Linked DNA regions of Ovis aries. The protein of the gene in region 1 purifies or fractionates together with the protein of each later gene. This does not show direct contact. Links are inferred from orthologs where the notes say so. Each region holds a gene or a part of one and is shown in the gene's direction. Other genes may lie near its edges. The genes, in order: CUL1, FBXO42, FBXO33, FBXO21, VCP, DCUN1D3 and CRY1.

The links.
Region 2: the proteins of CUL1 (region 1) and FBXO42 purify together in Homo sapiens (affinity purification with mass spectrometry; 9 studies listed by BioGRID and IntAct, counting the BioPlex papers as one, with this or other methods). This does not show direct contact. The link is inferred for Ovis aries from reciprocal best matches to the Homo sapiens genes CUL1 and FBXO42.
Region 3: the proteins of CUL1 (region 1) and FBXO33 purify together in Homo sapiens (affinity purification with mass spectrometry; 4 studies listed by BioGRID and IntAct, with this or other methods). This does not show direct contact. The link is inferred for Ovis aries from reciprocal best matches to the Homo sapiens genes CUL1 and FBXO33.
Region 4: the proteins of CUL1 (region 1) and FBXO21 purify together in Homo sapiens (affinity purification with mass spectrometry; 6 studies listed by BioGRID and IntAct, with this or other methods). This does not show direct contact. The link is inferred for Ovis aries from reciprocal best matches to the Homo sapiens genes CUL1 and FBXO21.
Region 5: the proteins of CUL1 (region 1) and VCP purify together in Homo sapiens (affinity purification with western blotting; 4 studies listed by BioGRID and IntAct, with this or other methods). This does not show direct contact. The link is inferred for Ovis aries from reciprocal best matches to the Homo sapiens genes CUL1 and VCP.
Region 6: the proteins of CUL1 (region 1) and DCUN1D3 purify together in Homo sapiens (affinity purification with western blotting; 4 studies listed by BioGRID and IntAct, with this or other methods). This does not show direct contact. The link is inferred for Ovis aries from reciprocal best matches to the Homo sapiens genes CUL1 and DCUN1D3.
Region 7: the proteins of CUL1 (region 1) and CRY1 purify together in Homo sapiens (affinity purification with mass spectrometry; 4 studies listed by BioGRID and IntAct, counting the BioPlex papers as one, with this or other methods). This does not show direct contact. The link is inferred for Ovis aries from reciprocal best matches to the Homo sapiens genes CUL1 and CRY1.

The regions. Positions count from the first base shown.
Region 1 is NC_056057.1:113,064,576-113,068,530, forward strand, and holds the start of CUL1 (cullin-1), read left to right. Parts: upstream 1-1,155; 5' UTR 1,156-1,301; intron 1,302-1,557; exon of another isoform or gene 1,558-1,864; intron 1,865-2,011; exon of another isoform or gene 2,012-2,137; intron 2,138-3,955. UniProt on the Homo sapiens protein: Core component of multiple cullin-RING-based SCF (SKP1-CUL1-F-box protein) E3 ubiquitin-protein ligase complexes, which mediate the ubiquitination of proteins involved in cell cycle progression, signal transduction and transcription.
Region 2 is NC_056055.1:249,502,746-249,506,880, forward strand, and holds part of FBXO42 (F-box only protein 42), read left to right. Parts: intron 1-1,014; 5' UTR 1,015-1,031; coding exon 1,032-1,281; intron 1,282-3,811; coding exon 3,812-3,928; intron 3,929-4,135. UniProt on the Homo sapiens protein: Substrate-recognition component of some SCF (SKP1-CUL1-F-box protein)-type E3 ubiquitin ligase complex. Specifically recognizes p53/TP53, promoting its ubiquitination and degradation.
Region 3 is NC_056071.1:47,043,367-47,048,121, reverse strand, and holds the start of FBXO33 (F-box only protein 33), read left to right. Parts: upstream 1-1,736; 5' UTR 1,737-1,740; coding exon 1,741-2,342; intron 2,343-4,755. UniProt on the Homo sapiens protein: Substrate recognition component of a SCF (SKP1-CUL1-F-box protein) E3 ubiquitin-protein ligase complex which mediates the ubiquitination and subsequent proteasomal degradation of target proteins. Probably recognizes and binds to phosphorylated target proteins.
Region 4 is NC_056070.1:57,941,632-57,945,766, forward strand, and holds part of FBXO21 (F-box only protein 21), read left to right. Parts: intron 1-59; coding exon 60-206; intron 207-505; coding exon 506-642; intron 643-1,619; coding exon 1,620-1,756; intron 1,757-4,135. UniProt on the Homo sapiens protein: Substrate-recognition component of the SCF (SKP1-CUL1-F-box protein)-type E3 ubiquitin ligase complex.
Region 5 is NC_056055.1:53,409,234-53,412,370, forward strand, and holds part of VCP (transitional endoplasmic reticulum ATPase), read left to right. Parts: intron 1-203; coding exon 204-316; intron 317-728; coding exon 729-893; intron 894-983; coding exon 984-1,106; intron 1,107-1,353; coding exon 1,354-1,566; intron 1,567-1,761; coding exon 1,762-2,070; intron 2,071-2,337; coding exon 2,338-2,493; intron 2,494-3,137. UniProt on the Homo sapiens protein: Necessary for the fragmentation of Golgi stacks during mitosis and for their reassembly after mitosis. Involved in the formation of the transitional endoplasmic reticulum (tER).
Region 6 is NC_056077.1:19,174,999-19,179,855, reverse strand, and holds the start of DCUN1D3 (DCN1-like protein 3), read left to right. Parts: upstream 1-1,672; 5' UTR 1,673-1,694; intron 1,695-2,035; exon of another isoform or gene 2,036-2,569; intron 2,570-4,857. UniProt on the Homo sapiens protein: Contributes to the neddylation of all cullins by transferring NEDD8 from N-terminally acetylated NEDD8-conjugating E2s enzyme to different cullin C-terminal domain-RBX complexes and may play a role in the cell cycle progression by regulating the SCF ubiquitin E3 ligase complex, after UV damage.
Region 7 is NC_056056.1:175,964,063-175,968,995, reverse strand, and holds the start of CRY1 (cryptochrome-1), read left to right. Parts: upstream 1-1,942; coding exon 1,943-2,100; intron 2,101-4,933.

The DNA.
Region 1 (3,955 bases):
CGTTGGAAGAAACAAACAGCAAAGGGAAAGTTGACCCACTCAGCTCACGTGTTAGCTGTGGGGAGTCACAGACAGGACGACCATATTGGATGATGAAATGGCAGAGGACAGGTTAGACAAACGGGAGATGAGCTAACCTGTCCTCTGAGGAAAGCTCGCAGCAGTGAGGGTCTCAGAGAAACCATATGTGTGCAGCCTCCCATATATGTGTACATATATATGTACAAGCCTTCCATTTTTACCTTCAATTCTCCCATGTGCCCATGAGAAAGTTAAATACATCTAAGCTTCTTTTGAATATTTAGAAGTATAGGATATTTGTTGCTGTTCTGCCGCTCAGTCCTGTCCAGCTCTTTGCAGCGGCATGGACTGCAGCACGCCAGGCTTCTCCGTCCTTCACCATCTCCCGGAGTCTGCTCCAACTCATGTCCATTGAGGATATAAAGCACGAATTTAAAAATCCTTAAATAGGCTGAGATCACATACTCTGGTGACAGGTACAGACAAATGCCATACTTTTAAAGATAAAGAGTTGTTGACAGAAGGCCACATTTCAATAGGAGGAACCGCATATACAAGTATGTCTTAAGATATTTCTTCTAAGAGACATCCATATTCCTCAGGAAACAGTGAGGGCTGTGGGAGTAGCCCTAGGCTCTGGGCCTAGCATTTCCACCCCAAGGTGATACTCAATGTTTTAGTTTTGGAGCAAAACAGGAAGTTACAGTCATCAAGTCTTTGGCCCAGATAACCTGAAATCTTTCCATGCTGAACTGTTCATGGACCATGGGATTAGAGAAGAAGCCCCTTCAAGTCCAAGCTTTCTCACCTGTGTCCCCACAGGAAGCCAGGTGGCCATTTGCGCTGCCCAAATTTGTATTTCAGGTAACCACTTGTGAGTTAATTTCAGATGAATGAGACGAACGACTCCGCAGCACTGGTGAAAACAGTCCTATTCAATAGTCATACCTCACTCATCCCATCCATATATGTAAGATCTTCAATTTCATTCTTCACTTAATCTTTACAGAGATTAATGGTAAAGTGTCTTTGTCGACCTCTGTTCAAAAAAGAGTGGGTTAGAGAGTTTGAAGAGGTAAGCTAATTTGGTTTGATCTCCGAACCAATTTTAGAGAGAGAGAGAGACAGAGAGACGCCGAGGAGCTGGGACTTTGAGGTGCCGATCCACGAGGCCGCAGGTGTCCTGGGGTTCAGAGAATGGACGGCACGTTTCTCTGGAGTCTGCTGCGCCTGCCTTTCAGGGCCACTCGCCCATCTCTGACTTTTATCAGCCGGTCGGGGTATGGCTTTTGGTTATCCTCCCGCCGGGAAGGTAGATCCAGCGGGTGTAGTTGTGATCCGTGTCGGTTCAGTGTGTGTGCGCGCAGGAGCGGGGGAGGGCGGCGTGTAAGACCCTCTGCTCCGGGGTGTTTCGGGCCGGTTTCTCCTCAGGCTGGGGCCCCGACCTAGGAAGGTGACCACCCCCGCCCCCTCCTCGTTCGGCCCAAAGTGGCGGGAAGCCGGGTCCTCAGAGGCGGCCCCCAAGGCCAGGGAGGCAGTAAAACCTGGAGGAGGATCCGGTGCGCCCGTCCGGGGAGGGTGCGGCGTCCATGGCCAGGGGCCCGCGGGGGCTTTCAGGTAGAGAGCAGCCCCGCGAGCGGGGCCTCGGCGGCGCGGGGCGGCGGGCGGGGTGGGGAGAACTCGGGGCCGCGGCACGGCGGGCGGGGGCTTTCGGGCCCCTCCCGCTCCGCGGGGCTGGTGGGGAGATGGCGGCGACGGTTTCCCGGCTCCCCCGCCCCGGACGCCGATGGCGGAGCGTTCCGGCCCTCCCCCCCCAGCTTCTCCACCGCGGGAGCCGGAGCCGGTGAGGCCGGGAGGGCGGGGAGCGGCGAAGGGAAGGAGAGAGGGCGGAGGTTGCGTGGTGCAGGCGGCGGCGGCGGGAGGAGGGCCGGCGGGCGGGCCGGGAGGAGGAGGAGGAGGAGGAGGCGGGAGCCGTGTCGCACGCAGCTCCAGGCGGGGCAGCCCCGGCGGCTGAGGGACGCGGCGAGACCTTGGCGGGACGGGGATTTAACCGGGGCCGGGCCCAGCGACCAGGTGGAGACGTCGCCGGAGCCATTTAGGCAGCCGGGAAATGCGGGTGAGTTGTCGGCGGCGCCGGGGCTGAGGGGAGGCGGCGGCGGCGGCGCAGGCCCGACCCGGAGCCGCGGTGTCGCAGTGACTGGGGCCGCGGCGGCCGAGCTCAGGCGCCGGGCGAGAGGCCCGAGGCGCCGAGCCGCGACCGGGCGGAATGGCGGCGGGGGCCGGGGCACTCGTGGGCAGAGGGCGCCGGGGGCGGGAGGGGAGCGCGCGCGCGCGCGCGCGGGGTCCGGCCCTGAGTCACCCCGGCCGGCTCGGGCCTGGCGGGCCGCGGCCCCGGACGCGGGCTCGGGGCGGCCCAGGCCCGGACTACGCACTGGGGAAAAAAAAAAAAAAAGGCCCGATTCATCGCGCCCGAGGCGGCGGCCTGGTGGCGTCCGCCCCTTTCCCAGCGCGACCCGCCTCGGGCCGCGGAGCCGGGCTGGCGAGCGGCCCCCGGGGCAGTCGGGCGCGCGCGCCTCACCTCTCTCCAGGCGGCGACCACCACCCCACCTCAACCAAGGGGTGCCCGAGCCCGCGCCCTCTTTCCCTCGGCCCCCCTGGGGACCCACCGCTCCCCCGAGCGTCGCTTGCCCCCGACTCGTGCTCTCAAGTAAAGTACTGGGCTTGCGCGCCGGAGGAGCCGCGGAGCCGGGCTCTCTCTGCTTTCCGGTTCCCTGCCCCGCGGCTCCCGGGTTTCCCCGCCCGCATTGTTGCGACTGTGCAGGGCGCTATTATTGGGTAACAGTCGCCCCTTTGCCCGGTTCTCCTCGGGGAGCGGGCCCGGGGCGGCGCGCAGGGATGCGAGTGCGGCGGCCGAAGCGGACGGAGCGCCCCCCCCGCCCCCCTCCGCGGCGGCCGCCGAGCGCCCGCGAGTCGGGCCGGGCCTGCGCCGCCGCCTCGGCGCGCCCCCGGCCCTGCACCCGGCGGGAGCGCGCGCTGACCCCGCAGGTAACCCGGGCGCCGGCCGGCCGCGTGCAGGGGTCGCCCCGCGCGCCCTTCTGGCCCCCCGTGTGCTGTATGCCTAGTGCTGGTGGTTCCGGGCAGAAACGCATGGTGAACGTTCCTTGAGCCTAATCCTCCAAAGTTGAGGGTTTTCTCCCTTTAGCGAGCTCTCTGCCAAAAATAGGATCCTCTTTTCGGATTGGATCACTGTCGTTGCTCACAGTTCGCAGCTGGAGTTAGTGGTGAGGGTGCAAATGAGGAATTGCAGTTAAGTGTTTATTTGCTCTGTGTAATTGCTCTTCGCGCAGTGGCATTAAAACAGTCCAAGTTAGTGGAGTCAGGGGTCACGTAGTTTTGGAAATGCACTCATCGGAGTGACAGAAGGGACTGAAATTCACTTTTACTTGAACCCCCAGCTTCTAGACCTCAGCATAGCTTTAGCAGTCTGCAAAAGCATGGCCAGGTGTAAGTTTAACGCTTCATTTTGTGGCCACCCTGTTTTACCTGGTTTTCTGAAATCCTGCAGCGTTTATGGATTGTGTAGAAAAAATAGGGGGCATTGTTTAAGAAGCAGAATTTAAAAAAAAAATTTTTTTTTTAATCTAAAAAATTTGGACCTAACGTTCTCTTGATCTAAAAGGGTCCTTGGGTATTGAGAAAATTTTTACTTAAAAGTCTGTTGCTTTCCCTGGTAAGTCGAAATAGTTGCAACGCATTTCAAATTCTGAGGCATGCATACAGCATGCAGGAGACTGGCTTGCTTTAACTCTATTATGCCCATTTTTGGAGGTTTGTAGAGAGAGTGCTCTTTAAGCTCTAGAGGGTTGGCTGAAATACTCTAAAAATATTCAACTTTTTTTTTGTCATTGGAATCATCTTTTAAAAACTTAACAAA
Region 2 (4,135 bases), on another chromosome or scaffold:
CCGTCCTCTGCCACCGCTCCCCTCTCCCGACCGTGAGCATTTAGGCCGCTCCCCTGCTTCTCAGTAGCCCCCAGTTGTCCATCACCATCGGTTCGCCAGCAGCCACTCGGTTAGGACGCGTTGCAGTATCGTAGCTAATTTGGCAGATGCATTGTGTCAGGAGCAACTTCGTGAGTTTTGACTCGTGTTCTTCTTGCTGCGGTCACTCTTTCCAGTTTTTAAGATATTGTACGTCAGTGGCTTTTGCCTCATGTTCAGGTTGGACATGTAGTATGTGCTATCCTGCCTCTCGCTCCGCGTCAGGATTCGCCCCCGAGTGTCTGTGGCTCCTTCCCCAACAGGGCTCTCTCGTATGAACGTAGCACGGTCTATCTGTTCTCTTGTTGATGGGTATTTAGAGTGTTTTCAGTTTTTAGCTCCTCAGATCTGTTTCGATGTTTCCTATTTTAAATATTGCCTTGTATTTGGTATTACACTAGTTAAGCTTGTTATTAGAACATTTATTATCCTCTTAAGTGAACTGTCTTGTATCAAAGCTAAAAGAAACACCCTATCATTTCTTATCCGCACATCCTCAGTGTTCCTTTACTCTCCTAGGGTGCACCGTTAGTTTCTTCTCCTAAGTTTGGGTCCTGAATCATATTTCGGGCTAAGGGAACTAGCTGCTGCGCCCTTTGCTATTGCGGACCGTGCCCTTGAGTTAGAGGAGTTGTTGAGAACAAGTCTTTTGGTTTTATGGTTGTACCGGAACTTGGCTGACACTCTAGGTTTTCAGTGAAGAGGGAAAAAAGCACTATCAGAAGCCTCTAGAGATTTCTTAGATATTTGGGATGGGCTTGGCATTTGAGGTGTGCCTGACAAATTAAGGTCGCTCGCGGCTAGTGTGGGGAAGTGCTAAAGGACAGGTTTCATTCTGAGCATCTGAAAGAGGTCGTGCCCAGCATGGCTGCAAGCGCTGAGCTAGTTCAGAACTTGAGAAAGTGTGCCCTGGCGTGTGCTTCTCTCCCGCTGCAGCTGTCACGTGGGATGTCATGGCCAGCTCCTCGGACAGCGAAGACGACAGCTTCATGGCTGTGGACCAAGAGGAGAGCGTGCTGGAAGGGGCCATGGAGCAAGATGCGGAGCTCCGCGCGGCGCTGGAGGCCGAGGAGACTCGGCATAACAGGTCCATGTCTGAGCTGCCAGAAGAGGTTTTGGAGTATATCCTGTCCTTCCTCTCCCCATACCAGGAGCACAAAACTGCAGCCCTCGTCTGCAAGCAGTGGTATCGACTGATTAAAGGTACTTTGGAAAGGGCACAGGTTTATTTACCCATTTAAGATTTCTTTGAATGATTTTTAATCTCTGTTCCATTGTTTCCTCCCTTCCGTTCACCGTGGTTCTGAAACAGCGGTAGACAGTTCGCCCTGTACATTTTCCTTTCTCTTTATCCTGCCTAGTTTTATGAACAACTTGAATGCTGTAGTTTTTAATCCAGCTTGAAGTTTTAAAATGAGGATTCTTTCCTGCATATTCCTGGAGTTGATCCGGTAAACTGCATTATTCTGGAATAGGCAGAGTAGGGATGAGCGTGGATTGACGGTAAGAGCTAACCTCCATACAACTCTCACATTGCCAAGACTGTCGTGACCGCTTTGCAGTTGACCTAGCAACCTGTGAATAGCTTAAAGTAGCTGTTTATGGTAGGTGTGGAGTTATGAAAGCATTTGATGCTTGATTTTATGTCTAAACAGCCCAGGTCCTATGTGTGTATTTTACTTTTTAAAATGTATTTCTCCCTTTTTCCCCCTCCATTTTCTAATCAAGATTTCAGCTTTAACTAAATGTTGAAGTTACTAATTATATATATTTTTTCAAAAATTTTTTTGTGTGGACCATTTTTAAAGTCTTCATTGAATCTGTTACAATATTGCTTCTGTTTTTGGTTTTTTGACCGTGAGGCATGTGGGGTCTTTCGCTCCCTGGCCAGGGATCAGACCTGCACCCCTGTGCTGGAGAGTGGTCTTAACCACTGAACCATCAGTGCAGTCCCCTGTATTTTGAATTAATAACAGTCATTTTTGTTTTAGGTAGAAAGGGCCTTTTTTTTTTTTTTAATGAAGATGGCCAAGCCAGTTGAATAGTCTTTGATCAAAGCAAGGGTTGTATTGACTTTTTCTTTGCTGATGTGAGCAAGGCAGCCAGAGAGAAGAGAGAGGGAAAAGGTTTAGATCAGCATCAGTCTTAAAATCTTTCCTAGAACCAGAGAGGTTCTCTGAGGAGTAGGGTCTTTATCAGTTGTCTGGAGTGCAGCCTCAACGGCTAATAAGGGCCGGCTGAGTTGAAGCTGCCCCGGGCCCTCCGGCTGTGCGGAAGCTGCCCCAGGCCTGCGCGCATCTGCTCACACCTGGTGGCGTCGGCGTGCGCAGCCTGCTTCTGCTGCAGAGCTAGTGGACTCTGCAGGAGAGGCTGGCTCCCTGCACTACGGAGGTGGATGGTGTCACCTCGAAAATAGAGGAGGAAGAGTCATACATGGGGGTGGCGATCTAATCAAAGATGCTTATTTATTCTTGGCATTCTTATCGTTTCTCTTTTCTTTTTCAAGAGAAAAGAACCTTGACGTAGTGTTCAGTCTTGGATCTTCTGGGGGAGTCACTGCCAGCACAGGGTTTTCTCCCCTCGATCATTATGTCTCTGTCTTTTATTCACTACGGCCTCACCTCAATCCAGGACTTGAAAATTTGTGTTACTTCACCAGTGTATAGTCGGCAGTATGGTCACCCATTGAAAATGGTCATGTCTTTTTAATATTCCAGTTCTTATCTGTTGTGAGTTCAGCCAAGGGAGAATGGTCATCACCGGAAAACATGTTCTGTGATCCTACTTAAGGATCCACAAGGTGGCATAAATTCGAGAATGACATTCTCTCAAAGTGTAAATAATTGATTGTACACTTCATTCAAAACGCTTCTCTTTGAAATAAGATAGTAATTTCATGTGTTGGAAAAACAGATTGTTCCAGAAGTATGAAGCTCTCACTTTTTAAAAAAATGGACTTTATTTTTTTTTAAGTGGTTTTTGGGTTCACGGCAAAATTGCGCGGGTCATAGATTTCCCGTATACCCTCTGCCCCGAGACGCGCACAGCCTCTCCCGCTTTCAGCATCCTCACCAGAGTGGTACGTTTTACGATTGATGATCCTGCATTGATAACACTGATGTATCATTGTCACTCAAAATCTGCAGTTTACCTTAGGGGGTACATCCTGTGACTTTGGACATGTATATAATGACATGTATCCAGCATTATAGTAAAAACTCTGATTTTTTTTTTTAAACAGCTTTCCTCAGTTATAAATTCATCATTTCGTAATCCACTGTCAGCTAGTTATTATCTCCTTGTTTTACAGAGAATCCGTGGTCTAACCATAGGTATTTACTAAACAGCTGTTATATTTCAGAGATTGTTTTACTGTATTTTTTCTCACAAAACTAAATTATCTCCCAAGTCTCTTTGTTTTGGAGTAAGTAGCACCAATTATTTTGATATGTTTCCTTATGATGTGGCATAAGTGGAGCAGAGTTAAAGTGTGAGCTGATTTTGTCACCTTGAGGGAGTCATTTAACCTTGGTAAAATCTAAAGATTAGATCTTCCAGTTTTGAGCTTATGTGATTTTGTTTTCTGTCTTTGAATGAAAGAAAATCAAAGAAATTTGGAGTTCCGCAAAGAAACTTACATCTTAAAAAAGTGATAAGACAATAGATTCAGTTTTAATAGTTTGGTTTATAAGTGAAGAGTCCAGGCTGAGGCATTGGTTATTTTTGTCTTTAGGTGTAGCTCACCAGTGTTACCATGGTTTCATAAAGGCTGTTCAGGAAGGAAACATCCAGTGGGAGAGTCGGACATACCCTTATCCCGGGACCCCCATCACCCAGCGGTTCTCACACAGTAAGTATTTATCCTGAAAGCAGGTCCCGTCTTGCCGGCGGTCATGTTTGCAAAAACTATTTTTGAGGATTGTGTTTTGTCTGACGTTTTTAATGAAGGGAATATAAATGAGGATTCATATTAATTTTACAGCCAGAGTAGGGAAGAGCGTGAGCCTAACAGTACTGTAGGCTCTGTGGTGCAATTTTATGCTCTGCTTTTCCGCTG
Region 3 (4,755 bases), on another chromosome or scaffold:
GATGGCTATAAAGAATATTTGGGAGATAACTAGATAAACTTGAAGATAACAGAAGTTATCTTAAGTGTGATAACACTATTTTTGTTATATAGTATTGTTTCCAGAAGTACATACTGAAGTACTTACAAGTGGGAGATTCAGATACCCATGGTCCACTTCAAAATATTTCAATGAATTTAAAAAATAAAAAATTCAAGTCCAAGTCTCAACTTCCTAATTCATTGCTGTTTCCATTACTGCTCATTAATTCATTCATAAAATCATTATAAGAATTACATAGAAAAATATCTTGCAGACAAGAGGTTCAGAGACGTGCTCTACCACGAAGGAAAGCATTTTTTTGTTGTTGGTTTTTATTTGTTTTTACTGCTACCAAAAGTAAAACACATAACTCAGAGGTAACAACTCAGTATCACAGGCAACAAGACACCAAAAGGCATCAAAGCATCACGAATGGAGAATTTTGCCCTCAAAGAGCTAAAAACATTTTGTAGAACAGTTTCGTGAAGTTAATTACAAGAAAACTAGGCTGTTTCAAGATCATAGTTAAGGCTCTGAAGCGGCAGCCTCACTAATGCAATCTTCAATTGTTACATAAAATTACCTATTCCCTTCTGACTTCACTACCCTGTACAACCAGTTTACTACTTTCCAAGATGTGGTGAAGTTAACGGACACTCTTTCGAAAATCCCTCTCTCAAGCGAGGGCAGCCAAGCTAAAGAAAACCTTCACCATAACAACCAGCTTCTTTACACCTAGGGCTTCAAAACAGCGAACGCGGAGCCTCCCTCGAAGCCCAGAGAAGACGCCGATTATCGACTAGCAGATCTAACTCATTTGCCTTGTTTTCTCCTCTCTCTCTAAATCCAAAGGGTGGCGCTGTCCTCATTCCTTCCCCACACACCAGGTGAGCGCGCAGGTCCACTTCGAGGTCCGACCGAGGGGTGGCGGTGTCCACTGACGACTTCGGTCCGGCCTCTCCGCCGCCCCGGCCCGCGCGGCTCCTCTCCCTACCCAGCCCCTCCGTGTGAGCCCGCGAAAGCGCCCGCTCCCCTCCTCAGGGGCTCTCTCTCAGAAACTCTCCGCAACACTCGGGGCAGGCGGGACGGCTAGGAAGGACACAAGCCAGCACTCTGGCTCTGAGCCCTCAGCCCAGAAACACAGAAGCGTATAATGAAAAGCGTCGCGACCTCTCGCACCAACGCGAGTTAACGCCACTTCGACCGCCAGAGCCCCCAAGTTAACCGATTTGCAGACTTGACTGGACTGAGTGGTCTCTGAGAGACGGGAGAGGGCGCCCATCTGCCGGGATCACCAGCGCTTCCCGCCCCGCCCCACCGGCCTACGTGCGTCAGGAATCACGTGCCTCGTCTCCCTTTCCTACCGGCAAGCCGGCGCTCCCTTCCGGAAGTCGCGCCCAGTCACGCCCAGTCTCCTCCCACCGCCGGTGACGTCAAACTCAGCTCCTACCACTGCTGTGCCTCCGCCTCCAGGCGCGGGGAGGGCTCCCGGTTCCTTAAAATAAATCCTGCCGCTTCCGGGCTCATAACCAGTACAAGGGAGGGTTTTTAAGTTGAGGAGGGCGCAGGCCTCGGACGCGCGTGAGTAAAGTTTGACAGGCCAGAGGCTGGCTATCTGGAGGCCACCCCCGCATAGGCCTTTCCCCCTCTCCGCAACTTGTGCCGCACTTGGTTCCGCCGAGACCCACGACGGTTCCGCCCCCTTCTTCCTTGTCATTGATGTTGTTGTTCTTGTCAGTGCCGCAGCCCCGACCACCGGGAGCCCGAACCCGAGCCGGGGCCGCCCGGGTGGCGCGGTGGCGGCGGCTGCGGCTGCAGCAGCTGCGACGGCTGCGGGGGCTGCTCCGGGGACTGCGGGGGCGGCCGGGGACCGGCAGCCGGCGGCGGGGCCGAATGGCTCTGTGCGGGCAGGCGGCAGGCGCCGCGTCGCTGCCTAGCGAGCTGATCGTGCACATCTTCTCCTTCCTGTCCGCGTCTGACCGGCTCCGGGCCTCGGCCTCCTGCTCGCACTGGCGCGAGTGCCTCTTCTATCCGGCTCTCTGGCCCCAGCTCCGCATCTGCCTCCGCGTCTCGCCCGCGGAGCAGCCACGGCTCGAATTCCTCATGCGCAAGTGCGGCTGGTTCGTGCGAGAGCTGCGTGTTGAATTCGCCGCGGAGAACTACCTGAGCGGCGGCGGCGGCCCGGGCGATGGAGGCAGCGCGGACGCCGGGACTGGCGGGGAAGAAGTCGAAGCCCTGCAGCTCTCAACCCGTTGGCTGGAAGTGCTGCGCACCTACTTAGAGCTGGTCCTGTGCGTGCTAGTCAGCATCCGGAACAACAGGTAGGCTCTTCGCAACCCCTCCATTCCTCCTCCTCCCCACCCCCACCCCCGCCTCCACTTCCCGAGGCTCAGGGTCGTCTCCTTCCTCTCACCTCGAAATAGATTCAGTGTGGAAACGCCCCGCCCGCTTCAGCGTTGCTTTTTTCAGTGACTAGGGGTGTCAGTTCTAATCCGGAGATTTCCTTGAGGCGGGAGGACATAACAGGACTCATCCTAATACTTTATAAACAGTGATGGGCTTGGTGTTTATCAGACAGCACTCCTGGCGCCTTCCAGGCACTGTCTCATTCATCCTTGAACGGCAGCAGTGGGATGGAGTTGACAGGCGCGGTCATTCATTTTACAGATGAGAGCTGAAGCTTGGAGGGTGAGGCCTGAGAATGAGTCTGGGGAGAAACAAAACTAATTTGTGTTTTTGTTGTTATTGTTTTATTCTGAACCTATCCGATCAAAATAGTTCGTGGTGGCGGAGGGAGTAGGTATGCCACAGGTTTCGCATGGGTTCGAGACTCTCCCAGCAAAAAAAGAAATCTTTGACAGCCATTTTCTTACCGGGAATGGTTTTAACTAGGCCAGGCACAAAGAGTAGGAGGAATTTTTTTTTTTTTTTTAAGGGATCAGGGTACTGCCGGATCATCAGGATTAGAAGGTCCCTCCCTTTTGCACCTCCAGACTCAACTTGTCCCCAGTGATTCACCTAAAAGTAGCACCGTACAGCTTGGTGTTTGCGTGTGTTGGGGGAACTGGCCAGTGTCTGCAAAGAGTAAGCCCAAACTGTCCTGATTTTGCATCAAGACTTTGCTGTAAATCTGGGTCTAACTTCCTGTGTTCTGGCCCGTCGTCCTCATCAGTCTTTTCCATTATTTATCTATCGCCCTCTCCAGGATCCTATTAAGGTAGATTTTCTCTATCTGGACATTCTAACTAAGCTTAAAATTAAACTGTGAGGTAGAGGAAAGTTCATAAGTTCAAAAAAGGAACAACTTAGGTAGCAGTAATAGTTTAGCAGTTTGCAAGTAGTTTCACATTCAGGATCTTATTTGATCCTTTCAGCCGAACCTGTGAGTTAGGACAGCTGCTATTATCCCTGCTTTATAGAAAGGAAACTGAAACATAACAGGGTCAGATAATTTGCACATTATTTCATACAGCATTGTTTTTCTCTGACAGCAGTGTACTTCGTTTTGCTGTAAATACATTTCGTTGAACAGGATGGAGTGAAGGTCCTGGTTATGCTAAGTGAGATGGATATATCTGTATTCCTAATTCTCTGAATCACAAGGGTGGAAAATAAGCATTAGCTGCAAGTTGTATCTGGAGCATGGCTGCATCATCCCAGTATGCTGTGTATTTTCCTAGCTTTTCACACCAAGCCATTTTATTTCCTCACTTTGCTTTTATGTGGCAAAAGAGGCCGTTTAAGGCCATAAGTTGGTCTTGATCATGTTGGAGACTTTCTGTCAGAGTTGGATGTGTGGCTGGAGGCCCAGCTGACCCAGAGATTAGAGTCAGTAGTGAGCACTTACTACTGATGATTCAATGGAGGGTAGAAGTGGGGTGGCTTCTTTATAGAAAGGAAACTGAAACTAACAGGGTCAAGTAATTTGCCAGTATCAGTTAGATTTTTCTTGAGATTAGATAGCAGTTCTGAGCAGTCATTTAAAAATGCATGTCTTTTGTCCAAGTAAGAACCCACTTTACAAAGTTTTTATCTAGTTCCTTTTAACTGATTGGTTGGTTGGACAGGTAAAGGCAAAATAGTAATATATCACATCTTCCCTTTGTTGTTTAATTTTTTTCCGGCTCCCTTCCTCACCCCTATCAATTTTTATTTTTTTAGCTGTGTGTGTTGAGGTAAAGTAAACAAATAAAAGTGAACCTACCTCTTCTTTAGCATCTCAATCTACTTGTCTATAAGACTGCTCTCTAAATAATCTTTATATATTTGGAAAGAAAGTCTCAGCTTTATTTTTGAAAATATTTTGAGATACTCTACTAATATGGGAAGTACTAATAAGGATGTTAAAAATTTAAGTGAAACTAATTTTCTTCAGAGAAATTTGAAAATGTTTTAAACCAAGATGTTTATTTGATAACTCTGATAAAGCCTATTCTTGTTTCCTTCATAATCACTTAAACATCAAACTCAGGCTCAATGAAGAATGACTCAAATGCTTTAGTGTTTAGTGTTCTTTGATTTTCTAAAACCATAAAATTCAATAATTAATGAGAAAAATCAATATTTGACATTGTTCTTTCCATTTCCAAGGTAAATGTTACAATGCTTTTGCCTTATGATTTCTACCATTTTTTAGGTAGAAGAAGAGGATGTGAACTTACCAAGTCACAAACTTTATGCTTCCTCCTTTATGTTGAACTTCATACAATTCAAACTTTTATTTTGCTGTGTTTC
Region 4 (4,135 bases), on another chromosome or scaffold:
GACCACTGTTAAGAAAAGGCAAATGTAAGAACTTATCCCATGATTCTTACTCGTTTCAGGCGCGGTGTATATTGACCAGTACTGCAACCCTCTCTCTGACATCAGTCTCAAGGACATCCAGGCTCAGATTGACAGCATCGTGGAGCTTGTTTGCAAAACCCTCCGGGGCATAAACAGTCGCCACCCCAGCTTGGCCTTCAAGGCAGGTGTGGAATTGCTTTGGATCCAGCTGTATTTATAAAAGAAAAACCTAGAGTGATTGGTTAATTTGGGAAATTCTGCAGTGCGTTCCCATTATGTCCCCTCAAAGCGATAGATAACACAACCACCGGTTCACCCGAATGATGTCAGAGGCTTCAAACACATAGTCTCTTTTCCACCCAGCATTGGCAACACCTGATGAGCCTTCCTAGGACGTGGCCAGTGTCTGCACGTCGGGTTGTTGGGGACACTCCTCACAGCGTTATTTGTGCTTGTGTCCTCAGAGTAGGTCTCTGTGTTTCAGGCGAGTCCTCCATGATCATGGAAATAGAGCTCCAGAGTCAGGTGCTGGATGCCATGAACCATGTCCTGTATGACCAGCTGAAGTTCAAGGGGAACCGAATGGATTACTACAACGCCTTGAACTTGTATATGCACCAGGTAAACATGGGGGTGAGAGGAAATACTGTTATAATATATGTAGGTGGAGCTTACCTCTGATGAACTGTACAGTGTTTGAGGGCAAGGACTAGATTTTGTTGGTCTGCCAATGCCTGGTGAGACTCATTTTTTGCCTTTCCTATAAGGATATTGCTGTGGATTTTATCTGATTCATCACAGTGCCCCCTCTTGTCTGAAAACCCTCGAAGTAAATTCCTGGCTAGAAATAGGTACGCCTCTGACTCAGTGTGGTCAGATCGCTTCTTGTGAACAGTAAACAGTGAAACTAAGCAGGTCTCCCTTCTTGCACTGGCCTGCAGGGAGACTGGAGGAAATGAGTGACCGACTGCGTCATTGATGCTTATTTTTTGTTTGCTTTCTACCTCTCTGTTTTTATATCTGTTCTGTTGCTCTCTCTCAGACCTGTATTTTCTTTTGTCATATCTTACACACTTTTCTTTGAAATACCCTTAAGTTCTTCCTAGACAAAGGAGGGCCTAACCATAGGTCTATAGACTTTTGCCGTGAAGGCCAGACGGTGACTTCTCTCGACCTGGCTCCTCAGGCCAAATGCTGTCTGTCCTAACCGCTCAGTTCTGCCCTAGTCATGTGAAGCAAAATGCAAACCATCCAGAAACAGAGGAGTGTGGCTGTGTCCCCGTAGAACTTTGTGTGTGGACGTGGACACGTGAATTTCACAGTTTTCACATTTTATGAAATAGTGTTTGGTCAACTTCTTGTAAACATTAAAAAAATGCTAAAATTTTTCTTAAGCAGGCAATCCAAAAACAGCTTATCGATCTGATGTGGACTGTAGCCCGCAGAGCCCTGACCTAAATAAATAAAATACTCACCCATTTAAGTCTGCAAACCTATCCTCGCACCTGCTGCACAGTGGGCGCCGACTGGGAAGGTGTGTGGAAGAGGTGAGAAGGTGTGGTTTTCTGTGTGAAGCTAAAGCCTGCTTTCTTCTCTAGGTGTTAATCCGCAGAACAGGAATCCCCATCAGCATGTCTCTGCTCTACCTGACAATTGCCCGGCAGTTGGGGGTCCCACTGGAGCCTGTCAACTTCCCCAGCCACTTCTTACTAAGGTGGTGCCAAGGTGCAGAAGGGTAAGCCGTCTCTGACCTCGCGTGATTGCCCTCTGCTGAGAGAAGTGTAGCAGCGGAAGTTGTCAAGGGGACCAGGGTGGTGAGAGCTGGTTTGCTCTTGATTGTATCCAGGTCCATACTCTGTTCCGGGGAGAAGGGCAGTGTGCATTCTTCTGCCTTGTTTCTCCCAAGGGGAGTGTGACTCTCCAGTTATCTCAAAGAAAACAGTTTACTTTTGAAGGACTAACAGTTCAGGATCTTGTATGAATCTCAGTCTCTCTGTTCCAAAGCAAATCAGCGACAAAGAATTCTTTTTTTTTAAGGTTTTTTTTTTTAATTTTTTTAATTTTAAAATATTTAATTCTTACATGCGTTCCCAAACATGAACCCCCCTCCCATCTCCCTCCCCATAACATCTCTCTGGGTCATCCCCATGCACCAGCCCCAAGCATGCTGTATCCTGCGTCAGACATAGACTGGCGATTCGATTCTTACATGATAGTATACATGTTAGAATGCCATTCTCCCAAATCATCCCACCCTCTCCCTCTCCCTCTGAGTCCAAAAGTCCGTTATACACATCTGTGTCTTTTTGCTGTCTTGCATACAGGGTTGTCATTGCCATCTTCCTAAATTCCATATATATGTGCCAGTACTGACAAAGAATTCTTAAGCTATTTCTTCCCAGTCTTCCATAAAACCTCCCACAGAAGGGAGGTGGGGGTGGGGTGGGGGACTCAGAGGGAACTGGGCTGGGGAGAGGGAACTGGGCTGCCAGGTTCTTAATTTGCAAAAGCCAATAGGCATGTTCTCAGCAGGGGAGCTCCTTCAGGCAAGGTTAGTGCCTGCTTTGCAGACCAGGTTAAAGAGTTTTGTTTTGTTCTCTTTTTTTTTAAACCTGGTATCCTGTTGGACGTAAAGCTCCTTTACAGCAGTAGTCTAGCTTTTTTGAAAGCAGTTCATCAAATGGGTAGAGATGCCCTCTCTTTAAAAGTGCCCTTTAGAGGGAAAAGAAACAAAGTTATTTGATTACATCCTGTTATTTGAGACTACTTCCTGATGACTGGCCCTGGTACCCTTCGCTGAAGTGATGAGCAGAATGAAAGAAAGTAGCTGAGCTTTGAAGTTCAACTGGGTTCAGACCTCAGCTTCCTCTGGGCTTAAGTTTCTTCCTCTGTAAAACGGGGCCGATGTTTTTCATACAGTGGTTTGGAGGGTTCAGTGAGAGAACCCAAACGCTTTACACATGTGGTGGAATTCTGTTGCTGGTCTGTGTTTCCACCTCTGGGTTTGGGAAATAAAACACCTCCTTGGTATTCTTCTCCATTCTTTTCTCCCTTTTCTCCTTTCTAGAGTTTAGTTTGAAAGTATTTATTTCCATGCATATTTTTGTATTCTATGACATGTGTGTTTCCTTAAATAGGAAGTACAGGCTTCCCTTATTTCCCAAATATAATCTGTTTCTTCAGATGTATTGGATAGTTTCTCTGTGGGAGAGTAGGCACCCATTTTCCATTATTTTAAATGAAAAAAAATGCTTTTTCAGCCCATTCCCTCTCCCTGAGTAACTCAACAACTTCCCCAAATATCTAAAACGTCCTTAAATATTTATATTATTTAATGGTCCACCAAGGACTTCTGCATGATACAGAGCATTTAAAACACCAACTACCATGTTATTGACCGCAGTAACCCATTGCTGGGCACGTTTGTGTGTGCCAACAGGATCGTGTGTCCTTGTTTAGGCTCCAGTGAGTGTACACCACATTGCAGACGAACAGTGAAGGGGTTTGTTAGCACCGCAGACACCTGGCAGATGCTGAGACCCGTGAAGGTGTGGCCCGTGGGGGCGCGCGCGCCTGCGGGGCCCTCGGCCTCCATGTCTGCACCGAGACCATAGTGCTTGCTGACTGTGACCGTATCGTGAGTCTTAAAGACTAGGCGGCTGAGAGCCGCGTGGAGTCCTTCAAAATCACCCTGGCTCCTCTAAGCCTGAAGCCCACGCGCAGCTTTAGAGTCTGTGGTCAGGCCCTTGAAGCTCTAGTGTGGCAGCTGGCCCCAGAGCTTCTCTGGACTCACGGATTCACGTGAGGAGCATGGTGTATGTGTCCCTGCTCCGTCTGTCTGTCTGTGAGCACAAATGCTTCCACGTTGCAGTCATCTTTAATGTCCTTCAAAGGATTTTACTCTTTTCTATAGCCAGCTCTTTCACATCTTATTAGTTATTCCTGGGTACCTTTACTTTTTTTTTGCTATTGAAAATGGTCATTGTTTAAATGACACTTTTTATGTATTGGTGGTGTACAGGGGTATGGCTGATACTTAAATCTGGGTTGATTGTTGGCCCCTCTGCTGAATCAATTATTAGTGATAATAATTTGTTAGGGTTTTCAGCCTTTC
Region 5 (3,137 bases), on another chromosome or scaffold:
TCCTTTCTTTCCCTTATTCCATGTCATGTCCAGGGTAACCACGCATCCTGGTTTGCCTGAGACTGAGGGATTTCCCAAGTTATGGGGCTTTCAGTGCTAACACCAGACATTTCCTGGTCACAGTGGAATGGTTGGATGCCTTAGGCCTGGGCCCTTCTTCCCTATGCACCAGAAATGATCCCTGTCTATGCGTCATCTCACAGGTCGCTTTGACAGAGAGGTGGATATTGGAATCCCTGACGCTACCGGACGCTTGGAAATTCTTCAGATCCACACCAAGAACATGAAGCTGGCAGATGATGTGGACCTTGAACAGGTGGCATGTTGATGAGGGCTGGCCAGAAGTTCGGATGTCTTGTTGCCAGACAGTTGAAGGGAACTGACTAGGGACAGAAGCTTCAGATGTGAGGCGATTGATTTTAATTCCTGGGCAGGGAAAGGGAAGTGATCTGAGATTGAATCCAGGAAACTAGGTTTGGCATTTTTCTTGGTTTACTGAATTAGGGTGAACCAGAATATTGGGGGCAGCTTTATTTCCAGGCCCCAAGTGCAGGCTTGAATACTTAAGAGTCCAGCTAATGAAAGGGCTGCTGGTATGAGTTTAGGGAAATGGAGGACCCAGAGATAGGAGTCAGAGGAAGAGGGCAGGGTTCTGTTATCTAAGCCAGAATAGAGACATCTAAGCTAGGTCTCAGAGGCAGGAGAGTAAGTGGATCTTCTCTCTGCAGGTAGCTAATGAGACTCATGGGCACGTGGGAGCTGACTTAGCAGCCCTGTGCTCTGAGGCTGCTCTGCAAGCCATCCGCAAGAAGATGGACCTCATTGACCTAGAAGATGAGACCATTGATGCTGAGGTCATGAACTCCCTGGCAGTTACTATGGACGACTTCCGAGTAAGGGCCGCTCTCCATTTCAGGTGCACACACATGCACTTTGATCTCTTGCCTGGCAATTCTCATCCCCAATTTTTCTTCCCTTTTTAGTGGGCCCTGAGCCAGAGCAACCCATCAGCACTGCGGGAAACTGTGGTAGAGGTGCCTCAGGTGACCTGGGAGGACATTGGGGGCTTGGAGGATGTCAAACGTGAGCTTCAGGAGCTGGTCCAGGTAGGGTGCTTGGTCCAGGGTGGGTCACTGCTTCAGCACATTGTCATTGAGCTGGTGGTATTGGGGTGTTGACACATTGATTGCAGAAATTATGAGCATGATTCAGGAACCTGCTGTTCTGAGGTTGGAAGCACCAAGAATCCTGTCACCTTACACCATGAGATGGTGTGGGAGGATGCTTCTGTTAGGTTGGGTTTCTCTCAAACTGGGGGAGATAGCCCTGAATCCTCTTTCTTTTTCTTCCTAGTATCCTGTGGAGCACCCAGACAAATTCCTCAAGTTTGGCATGACACCCTCCAAGGGAGTACTGTTCTATGGACCTCCTGGCTGTGGGAAAACCTTGCTGGCCAAAGCCATTGCTAATGAGTGCCAGGCCAACTTCATCTCCATCAAGGGTCCTGAGCTGCTCACCATGTGGTTTGGGGAGTCTGAGGCCAACGTGAGGGAAATCTTCGACAAGGTGAGCTACAAGTGGCTGGGCTATCAGTTCACTTGCTTGGGAACAAGTTAGGGGTAGAGGTTGTTCTTTGGGAGAGTTAAGACCATCCCATTCTGACAGCTCAGTTAGGGCAGTGAAGGTCACTTTATTTTCCATTTTTCCTCAGGTCTGAGAGACCCAGTTGTGCTAATGCTCAAGTCCATCTGTCTCTCACAGGCACGCCAAGCTGCCCCCTGTGTACTGTTCTTTGATGAGCTGGATTCGATTGCCAAGGCCCGTGGTGGCAACATTGGAGATGGTGGTGGGGCTGCTGACCGAGTCATCAACCAGATCCTGACAGAAATGGATGGCATGTCCACAAAGAAAAATGTATTTATCATTGGCGCTACCAACCGACCTGACATCATTGATCCTGCCATCCTGCGACCTGGCCGCCTTGATCAGCTCATCTATATCCCACTTCCCGACGAGAAGTCCCGTGTTGCCATTCTCAAGGCCAACCTGCGCAAGTCCCCAGTTGCCAAGGCAGGTGCAAGGTCTTGGGTTGCAGGGTCGTGAATTTGCAGGCTGTGTGGAATGCTCCTTGGTTCCTGGACAAGGTTCCATTGGGGATTTCTGGGGTTATGGTTGAAAAGGAAAGATGGAAGATTTGAGGGTATTAAGATATCTAGAATAAGGAATAAAACTGGTGGCAGAGGATGGAACAAAGTGGAATTGGGAGTGCTTTGGTGGCTCAAAGATCAGTGTATCAAAAGAGGCTAAAAGCTAAGGTAGCTCTCTTGCTTCTTTTAGGATGTGGATTTAGAGTTCCTGGCTAAAATGACTAATGGCTTCTCTGGAGCTGATTTGACCGAGATTTGCCAACGTGCTTGCAAGTTGGCCATTCGTGAATCGATTGAGAGTGAAATCAGGCGAGAACGGGAGCGGCAGACCAACCCATCAGCAATGGTGAGTCTGCATCCTTAACCCAGATGTGCCTGTCTTAGGGAGCCAGGGGACAATCTCCACAGTGCCCTAGAGTGTACAGTTTTGGAAAGGTCATCTATCAGATGTTTAGCATGCCATGGAAGAGAAAATGCTGAGTACTCAGATAACCATGTCAATTGGGAATTACAAAGGCTGAGAAGAAATGAGCATAGAAACAAATAGAGCAGGGCTGAGAAGCTAGGATCTATGGACCTTTTCTTGGTGTTCCATGGACCCCCTGAATTAAATGCAGAATTTGATATGTATGTATATATAGGCTCAATAAAGATAGGGATTTTTGTTATCTCACTTGTTTCCCACTGTAGCATGGCACAGTGTTGGAAACTGACTTAATAAGCAAATAAGTGATTGGCTTTCTCTACCATTAGTGATGTTTCTCTCCCTCTCATAAAAGCTTATAAACTATCCAAAGTCACAGCAGTTGAGTGGCTTCTTGGTAGAAGAGATAGGATGTGAGCCGGGGCTATAAAGAGAATAGAGGTTAGGTAAAGGAAGTAAGTCACCCAAGTAGACTGCTTGAGGAATAGAACTGCAGGAATTGGGAGAACCTGGATACATTAAAGAGGTTGTGTGTTACTGGAAGTGAGGCCTGTGAGTAAGGTATA
Region 6 (4,857 bases), on another chromosome or scaffold:
GGCCTTCCTCTCTCCCACTCCGCCAAGAATATGTTTTAACACATAAACATTTAACAGCACAATAGCTAAGCCAAAATTGCCCAATTTCAAAACTTCACCAGCATTCTTAAATTTACTTTTTATTCCTTGATTAACAAAGAAAAATAGGGCTTCCCACAGAGGACTTCCTCTCTATCTGCACTCTTCTTAGGTAATTTAGGAATAAATCGCTACATTTATTATCTCTCGAGTTTTCCCTTGATTTTCACATTTAACTTCTCAACGTCTTTACCTGGACAGTTAACAAACTTATCAAAACTAGTATGTTTAAAAGAATAGAGTGCCTTCCAAACTATTTTCTCTGAGGAGTCATCTTTGGTTCCATTCTTTCACATACACTTCATATTCAATTTGCCAACAAGTCCTGCAAGTTCTAGTTTCAGAATATATTCTGAATTTAATTCTTCCAGTTCACTGTCACCTCTCCCTTGGCCTACTGCAACACCTGCCAAACAGGTCTGACCACTTGTACCCTTCTCTATCCAGGAGCTAAGAATGATTTTCTAAAACTGTAAATGAGATTTGTCACTCCTTCTTAAACCCTCCAGTAGCCCAACAGTTAAGCTCTCGCCCTGGGCTAAGCTATGCTTGATCAGGCCATGCCACTTCTCCATCACAGACCACTCTGGCTCTTGTTCTTCCCTTTCTGGTCCAAGCATCTGACTTTCTCGCCTTTTCCTTCTGTAGATACCTTCCCGTTGCTTCTTTTCTCCATCTATAAAGCTCATTCCCTAGCTTCCCTCTTTTCTGGGATTTTTGCAAACCCGGCCTCCTCTGAACAGCCCTATCCGATTTAGAGTGGTCCTCCCCTCATCTTCTGCACTTCCCTTGTGGCTCAGCTGGTAAAGAATCTGCCCGCAATGAGGTAGACCTGGGTTCGATCCCTGGGTTGGGGTCCGAAAGAGTCGGACACGACTGAGCGACTTTCATGTTCCCCTTATTTTCTACCACTTCCCCTGATATTACTTCCTTTGGGGCATTTACTTGCTGATATCTACCTTATTGATTTACTTTTTAAGTTACTCCCGGACTCGAAAAATTCACGTAGCAACGTCTTTCGTGGACCAAGGGATTTAAGAAGCTAGTTCTCATTATCTTAGAAAATCTCAGTATCGTGCAGGGTACTCGTTTGTCAACCTTCCTCGGCTAGACGCCTCGCCTCCGGATTTGCCCCTATTAATCTCCCATTCATCAATACATTGGGGGAATCCAAAGGACTCAGAGATGCGCCCCAAATCGGCATTTCAGCGTTCCCAAACCAGGCCTCCCCTTCCTGGCCCTCAAGCCGCTTCCTTTAGCAGGTTCCTGAGGCGAGCGGCGGTGACACCAAGCAGCCCTCGCGAGGCTGGGGTCACACTGGCTCGTCTCCTAGCAACGTCGTACCCCCCACCCCCACCCCATCCCTGCCCCTGAGGAGTCCACCCCTTCCCCGTTTCCCGCGCCAGGAGTCGGCGTCTCCATCCTCAACACTCACTCTGCGTCAGTCCAGCCTTCCCCCACCCACAGAAGCCCCGCAGCCTCCGGCAGGCTGGGAGGAGGCGGCGCCGGGAGCGCAGCTGAGCGGCGGCGGACTGAGCTCTCTAGCAGGTCTGGTAGGCCAGACCGGACCGAACCACCGGACGGACTTCTGTGGGAGCATTAGTCCCAAGTCGAGGGTAGGCTCGACCTTTCGTTAAACTTCAAACTCTAGATCACGCTCCGCCGTATACCCAACAAGATAGCCAAACTAATCCTTTCTTTAATTTTCTTTTCCACTTTCCGTTCTCCTCTCGCCACCCCATTCCAGCGAAAAAAATGGTCCACTCCATCTCTTCCTAGCCCTCCCTCCGCGTTGCTAAGTCTTTGCCCTTACTTGGCGACAGCTTCGTACGTCTTTGCGTACGTCATGACGCAAACTGCCACTCGTTCCCTCCTCTCTCCTTTCCTATTCCGCCTGCCGAAGCGGGCGGCCTGCGGGGTTACCGGAAGTGATGATGCAGGAGGCGATGGAGGGGGCGGGGCTTCGGGGCGGCCGCCGCTGGTGGGCGGCAGATGAAGGGGAGGCGGCGGCAGTGGTGGGAGAAGAGGCGGCGGCGGCGGCAGTGGAGCGGGTAGGGAACCTGGAAACGCGAGCGGGGATGGTAGGTGTTTTGGACCCGCCGGGCCGCCGTCGTTTCCAGAAAGGGTTTGACTGGAGGAACCTCTGGAGCAGCTGTGAGTTTGAGGGGGGGTTTGAGGAAAAGGGGAGGCTTTGGGAGATGAAGGGGCGGGGGCTGGGTACCTTCGAGAAAGGGAGGGGGGGTGGAAGGGGAGGCGTGGAAATCAGCTTCTTGTCTGGACTGGTCCCGCTGGAAGGAGAGGCTGTGAGGGGAGCCTGTGGCGTGTCAGCCGCAGGGCTCAGAAAACTTACCTACTGTCCCTGCCTCCTCACCGCCAGCACCCCTCAACCCAGGGCCTGGGGCTCTGGTGGCCGGAGCTGCCCTGGAGGGGGTACAGACTCTGGTTCTCTGCGCCTTGTAAGCGCCGTGAGGTAGGAGCCCAAACGAGAGGTGGTGGGTGAATCTCCAGCTCCCTCCGCCCTCATCTACCTCCCCACCCCCATCTTCCTCTTTAATCATTAACAGCCCTGGAATTAAGGGGCTCAGACCTGAAGTCCTTCCTATGCACCTTTGCTGTATACGATAACCATCTGTGCCTGAGGTGATGGGGCTGGAAGCTTTGCCCCTATCCTGTATAGGAAGTGGGACAGAGTGACAAATGTATTGTTTTTTTTTTTTTCCCATTTCCCCCCCCCCCACCCCCCACCATCTTCTCCCGTGCATAGCCCTCCTTTCCACTTTAATTCTCCGTGACTAGGTGGTAATTGTGGTGTTTTTTTTTTTTCTTTATTGCTTGGTATCTTAGTTACCTCTTTTGAATTTGGTGTTCCGCCTCCATCCCAGGTCTTAACTGCAAGCTTTGTAATACTTCAGTTACAAGCTGTCTTTGGGAGTACCTCTCAATCCGTGGTTGCTTCCGATTAAACGAGCGTTTTATCCTCTGAATACTGGAATTCCAAAGCCCTTGCAAAGATTCCTAAATGGCATCATAGCCCAGGAATCAAGGTCTCTTGCTCTAAATACTTTATGTGTGAGGAATTTAAATGTTGTCAACTCTTTCCAAAATGATTTGATGTTAGGCTAATTCTAGATTGCTTGTTTCTCTCCACCCACACTTCATGATGCACTTTGGAGAACAGAAAACTCCGTATTACTCTTTTGTTTCTACAGTTGGACAATAGCTCTCTTATTTTTTCTTTTGTGTGTCTGGCACACAAGTCTTCAGTGACACATTTGGCTTGTGCAGATTTCCATATTATTTATTTAGCTTATTCTTTGTGTATAGGTGGTCTTACATGAGACAGCATGATTTGCTTAGTTTTCTTTCAGGGAAGAATACAAACCAGTAACAGATGTGAAAAAATTATTTGGCAAAGAATGATTTGAAAAGAAGATCTCTTTGTTGATGTTTTGTTGGTTTAAGGGGGGAAAAAAGTAGTGCTTCTTTAGCCTGTAGTACGGATTTCAGAGTGAAGTGTAATGATTTCTACTTTGGTGTTGATATTTTCTTTGGAAGTCCTTTTGAGTCTGGAACTGTTTTCTAAAGAACTTGAAGAGGTGGTTCCCAAATTTTAGGGATCCTTTGATGATTAGAAAGTGTCTGTAAATCCTGTCCCTCTGTAACTGAGTTTATGTGCATATTGCTAGAATTATCATAACGGGTTCCATCCTACTCATCAGGGCTTTCAGGCCTGATAAAACAATATTTAATGCTTTCATTGTACAAGTAACAGCATGTTTGGATGTTTCACAGAAATGCAACAAAAGAAAAAAATGACTACTGTTCTCACCTTAACTGATTTGGAATCATTGAGTAAAAAGTCCAAACTTCATTCATTCAGCAAACATTTATTGACAGGGCTACTGGTTGCTAGCCAGTATATTAGGCAGTGGACATACACAGAGGAATATAGCAGTAAGGTCCATGCTCTCATGGAGCATACATTGGAGTGGGGTGGGGACAGATACATAAGCAAATTGGATTTTGATAAGAGCTGAAGAAAATCAGCTCTTATCTGTAATTGTGAGTGCTGTGATAGGAAGTGTCTGACTGAGATACAGTCTAGACCTTTCTGAGAAGGCAGCACTGAAGTTGAGCTTTAAATAAAAAGGAGCCAGCCTTGCAAAAATACAGGAGGAACCTTCCAGGTTTAGGGACTAGCTAGTGCAGAAACTGGGCTGGAGTATGGCAAGTTCCAAGGAGTGGGAAGAAAGGGATGATGAAGAGGAGGTCAGGGAGGATTAGGGGTAGGAGTAATAGCTAGAGCCTCGTGATCAAAGAGAAGAGTGAAAAGAGTCTAGGTCAGAGAGATGGAGGCTGAGCTCAGAATGCTATGCTATGCTAAGTCGCTTCAGTTGTGTCCGACTTGGTGTGACCCCATAGACAGCAGCCGACCAGACTCCCCCGTCCCTGGGATTCTCCAGGCAAGAACACTGGAGTGGGTTGCCATTTCCTTCTCCAATAGGTAGACAAAATAAGAGCAAGAAGGAGAAGGATATAGAAAATGATGTTCCTTTTAATTCTGTTGTTTTTCCCAGAGTCTTGCCACATACTATTTTAAGGATACTCTTATTAGAGTATTGTCTGGAGAAGGGAACAGCTACCCACTCCAGTATTTTGGCCTGGAGAATTCCATGGATTGTATAGTCGGACACGACTGAGCGACTTTCACTTTACTTAGAGTACTGTAGGGGGAAAAAGGTCACCCTGCTGAGAGTGGGAGAGGAGGAGGCAGTGGTC
Region 7 (4,933 bases), on another chromosome or scaffold:
TCCCTAGCTCAAAGGTGTTGTAGTGAGCGGCAGATTCTAAACAGCATTTACAGAGCGAAAAACAGCACATATAAAGGTTAGGAGACACATCGTGAACTTCAAGAGGGCTTTTCTCTTCCTCTCTCTGTGTACCTCCAGTACTTTAAATAGTGCCAGTTTCATTCAATAAGTGATTGTTGAATGAACTTAAAGTTATTGCATGCCTAAGGAACAGCGATTCCCTTGTAGTTCAGTCCCTAAATAACCTGCCTGCAATGCAAAAGACCCAGGTTCGATTCCTGCGTGGGAAAGATCCCCTGGAGAAGGAAACGGCAACCCACTCCTTGTCTGGAGAATCCCATGTACAGAGGAGCCTGGCAGGCTACAGTCCATGGGGTCGCAAAAGTTGGACACGACTTAGTGACTAAATCAAGGAACAGCAAGGCCTGAAGTTCATTGTCCTTAGAGGGGTAGGCAAAGTCCCATCGCAAAGAGCCCTGTAAACCGCACTAGGTGTAAGAAAGGAAGGCTGACATGTTGACAACACAGAGATACTATTAAGGAGTTCCAGGGATGCCTGGCACCACCCTCCGAATTAATCCTCTTCCCCAGAGCTCATACAAGGATCCAGTAACGCTAGGGGCACAAGAATGAGAAGGGAGCCAGCTCTATACACTCCAAAGTAGGGTTGGGTTCTCCAGCTAAAGCTGGATGGAAACACATGTTTTGGGCTCTAAGTCGATGTGGAGCCTCCTACTCTGCTCTTTCCACTCCATCCTGCCCTCACTCATTCCCCGCCGGATCCTCGTTCCGACTCCTGGAAGACACCGCGATGTCTCCACGCCTTCCGCGAACTCCGCGGGAGGAATCCCCTAGCGGGCTCCGGATCGCCGGCCCCGCCCTCCTTGACTCCGAAACGCAGCGAGAGCGCACGCGCGCCCTCACGGGCAGAGCGCGAGCTCTCTAGCTCCCCGCAGCCCCGTGCTCATCCGGGTCTCAGCGAGTCTCAGCCAATGGTGGACGTTCACAGCCCCCGAGGGCGGGGCTAAATTTTCCCTCACATGGGGCCTCGGCTCACTCTGGGCGCTTTCAGGCAACCGCGATTTGTTGGCCGAGAAAAGGGACAGAGGCAAAGTGTCTAGCGTCTGGGAGAGGACCGATGGATTTGACATGGAGCAGCTGCCGCCTCCTAGAAGCGACTGAAGTGCAAGCTGATACCCCAGTCGGAGCCGCTGTAGTAAACACACTTCAGAAACGTGAGGTGCCGGTGGTCACGTGAGGAGTGCGCCCTCCAATGAGGAGCCGAAGGCGGGGCTGAAGCCGCTGACGCGGCGGTGGCGGCGGAGTCACCCGGGCAGCCTCGGGACGGGTCACCGGCCGGCAGCGGTCCAGCGGCCTCGACCACCGCCTTGCGTGCTCTGTCCTCACTTCTCTTACCCGGGCCGAGAGGCAGCGTGGCCGACAGTGACTGAATTCTCTCTCATCCTTGTCGGTGGCTCGCCTCAGGCGGGGCCGTCTGCTCCTCGGGGGCCGCCTCGGTGGGCGAGGTTTCCGTGCAGAGAACCTCTTGGGGCTGCCCGCGCCCGCGCGGGCCGTGGTGGAGTCTCGGGCTTGTGGAACTTGGTCAGCCTCCAGAGGTCCGGGGACCTCGAAGTTATGCGTCTTTTCCAGTCTGTGGCGGCGGGTGCCGGCCCCTAAAGGGCGTCACACCGGGACTCCGCTGACTGGGCAACCTCCATTCATCTTCCAGCTGCGCCGCCAGCGCCCTCTCCCTCTTCAGTCCCTTCCTCGGACTCATCTTTTCCTTCCCCTCCTCTGCTTTCCTCACTCCTTGGGTGCGGCGATTCTCCTGCGTTCGGAGTTGTCGGTTATGAGCCGGACCCTCCCACCCTGAATTTCTCGGCGGAGGAGCTCGGCGGCGCCGCACCGCGGCACGCCCCCCCCCCCGCCCCCAGCCCCCGGGATGGGGGTGAACGCCGTGCACTGGTTCCGAAAGGGGCTCCGGCTTCACGACAACCCCGCCCTGAAGGAGTGCATCCAGGGCGCCGACACCATCCGCTGCGTCTACATCCTCGACCCCTGGTTCGCCGGCTCCTCCAACGTGGGGATCAACAGGTGGCGGTGAGTCAAAATCCTGTGGGAAATTGATTTCGCTGTTTAATGAATCAAGACTTTACATGCCATCAGCCAGACCTGAGAATTGAAATCTTGCACCGCCTTGCCCGTACTGTTTGAATTATTGCAGGTGCTTTAAGTATTAAATAGAACGGACTTAATAGCCTTGAGGCGAGAGAGTTCCGGCAGCCTGAAACACCTTGGCCTTCAGGTGTGAGTTACGTGTCTCTGCGCTCGTAGGAATTCTTCCCCTGGATTTATGGAGAATTCTTAGTGGTGGAGTTAAAGAAACACCCTTCCAGTTCTCAATGGCCCGTGTGTTGATTTCCTTGGCCTCTGTGGCATTTGGGGTTGCGGTCTTTAGTGTTTACGTTTGTGTGTTAACTCATAGTATGGAGAAAATCATTCATTCAGTAGAGTCCCCTCCAAATCTAGTTTTCTTCCACCTTGAGGTTGCCAGAGGAAAAGCAAGGGACATTTCTTTGCTCAGTTCTTCCTCTCAACTCCTCCTTGTGGTTGAATAGACAAAGCACAGTTTTTCTTTCTAGGCAAAGTATAATCCTTCCAGGATTTAGAGCACTGGAAGAAATCTTAGAGAAGCTTTATGATCTTTTCCTGACATGCCAGGCCAGATGATTATTAGGCCCCGTGGTGGAAATGAAAGCATTCTTTCAGCAGAGTATTGATCACCTGCTGTATACCAGGGCTTCCCTTGTGGCTCAGCTGGTAAAAAAAAAATCCCCCTGCAAAGCGGGAGACCTGGGTTCTATCCCTGGATTGGGAAGATCCCCTGGCAAGGGGAAAGGCTACGCACTCCAGTATAATGGCCCGGAGAAATCCATGGACTGTATAGTCTTTGGGGTCTCAAAGAGTCTGACACGACTGAGCGATTTCACTCACAATCACTTACAGCCACAGCTTTAAACACCAGGGATACAGTAGTGAATGAAACAAATAGAAATTCTTGTCCTTTTCTAGCACATGTCCCAGAAAGTATGTAGTAATGTAGTAGATGATAAATGATGTGCGGAAATACAGCTTTTATGTGTACAAGGGAGTGGGATTGGAATTGGGAGTTTAAAATATGGTGATAGGGAAAAACTCAGAGAAAGGGACAGTTGAGCAAGATGATGAAACAAGTAGATTACAGATATCTAGGGAAAAGCATTCCAGGGAGAAAGAACTAAGAAAAAGGGCCTGAGGTGGAATATGCTTAACCTTTGGAAGGAACAGCAGAAGAAGCCAATGTGACTGGAACAGAGTGAGAGGAATAGTAGTGTATGAGGTCAGAGATGTAATAGGGCCAGACTGAGTAGAGCTTTATAGGCAGTTGTCAAGATTTGGGCCTTTACTTAGATGAAAATAGGAATAATTCTAAGATTATGAGCAGAAAAGTGATGTGATTTGACTGAAGGTGTGTTTTTTTTTTTTTTAAACTTCTCTGGCCGTGGTTCTGAGAACAGACCCAAATTGTGGGGTGGAGGTGGACAAGAAGCAATAAGACAGGTTAGGAGTCAATTGCATTAATCCAGGTGAGATATGATAATAACTTGGACCATAGTGATTGTGGTGGACATAGGGAGAAGAAGTCAAGTGCTGAGTGTATTTTGAAGGCAGAATTCACAGTATTTATTGACAGATGTGGTGTGAGAGAAAAGGAATTAGGAATAATTTCAAAATTTGATTTGAGAATCTAGAAGGGTGGAACTGATCTTTACTAAGTGGTCAGTTGAAGAAGCCATTGAGAGGGTGCTTTGAGTTTTCTTTTGAACTTGGTTAGTATGAGATGTTTATTATGCATCCAAGTGGAGATAGCAGATAGATATGTCTAGAGTTAAGGTTAGAGATCCTGGCAGGAGGTATAAATTAGAGATTCATCACTTTATAGATAACATTTAAAACTATTAATCCATTCATATATTGACCAAATATATTGTATGGATCTACTATGTGCTAGACACTTTTAGGTGCAGGACATTAAACAGAATAGCTAAAATATCTCTGCAGTGTTGAAGATACATTCTAGTAGAGCTGTGAGACTATATGAAAACATTATGTGAATTTATACAGATAGAAAAGAACTGAGCCTGGGTACTTGAATGTATTTAAATTGTGGACGTGTGGAAGAAGTAGCATAGGAGTTTGAGAAAGAACATCTGGTAAGCTAAGAAAACCTGAAGATAATGGTGTCATAGAAGCCAAGGAAAAAAGGACAGTGGCTCAAAGAAAATGTTTGACCTTTGTCAGGTTGCTCGTCGTGTGAGATGAGGACTGAAAATTAAGAATCATATTTAGCATTTTGAGATCATAATCTTGATTAAAGTGGTTTCAGTAGTGTCAGGGGCAAAAGCCTTTTTGGACTGGCTTGAGAGAGGCTGAGAGGAGAGAAGGTGGGGATAACTCACATAGATAGCTCTTTTAAGTTTTCCATTGGGGGGGAATCAGAGAAATGGTGTAGAAGAAGGTGAACTCAAGAGAAGATTTTTTTTTTTTTAAAGATGAGAGAAATTACAGGATATTTGTGTGCTCATGAGAATAATACAGCAACTGTATATAAAACATTTTCATTAGCAGAATTGGTGTCATTGATTCTGGAAAAAGATAATGCATGTTATATATTCTAATCTATTCATATCTTAACAATAATATAGTAATAAGTCTCTCTTCATAATATTGTTAGGAGAATTAAATTAGTTAAAAGATGTGAAATGCTTAAAATGTGAGTGGTGCTACTACTGCTACTACTAAGTCATACTAGGAAGTGCTTATTTGCTGTTTGCTCTTAAATTGAAAGTCCTAGGTAAATAGTATCTACTTAAATGCCTACAGTTTTAGCATT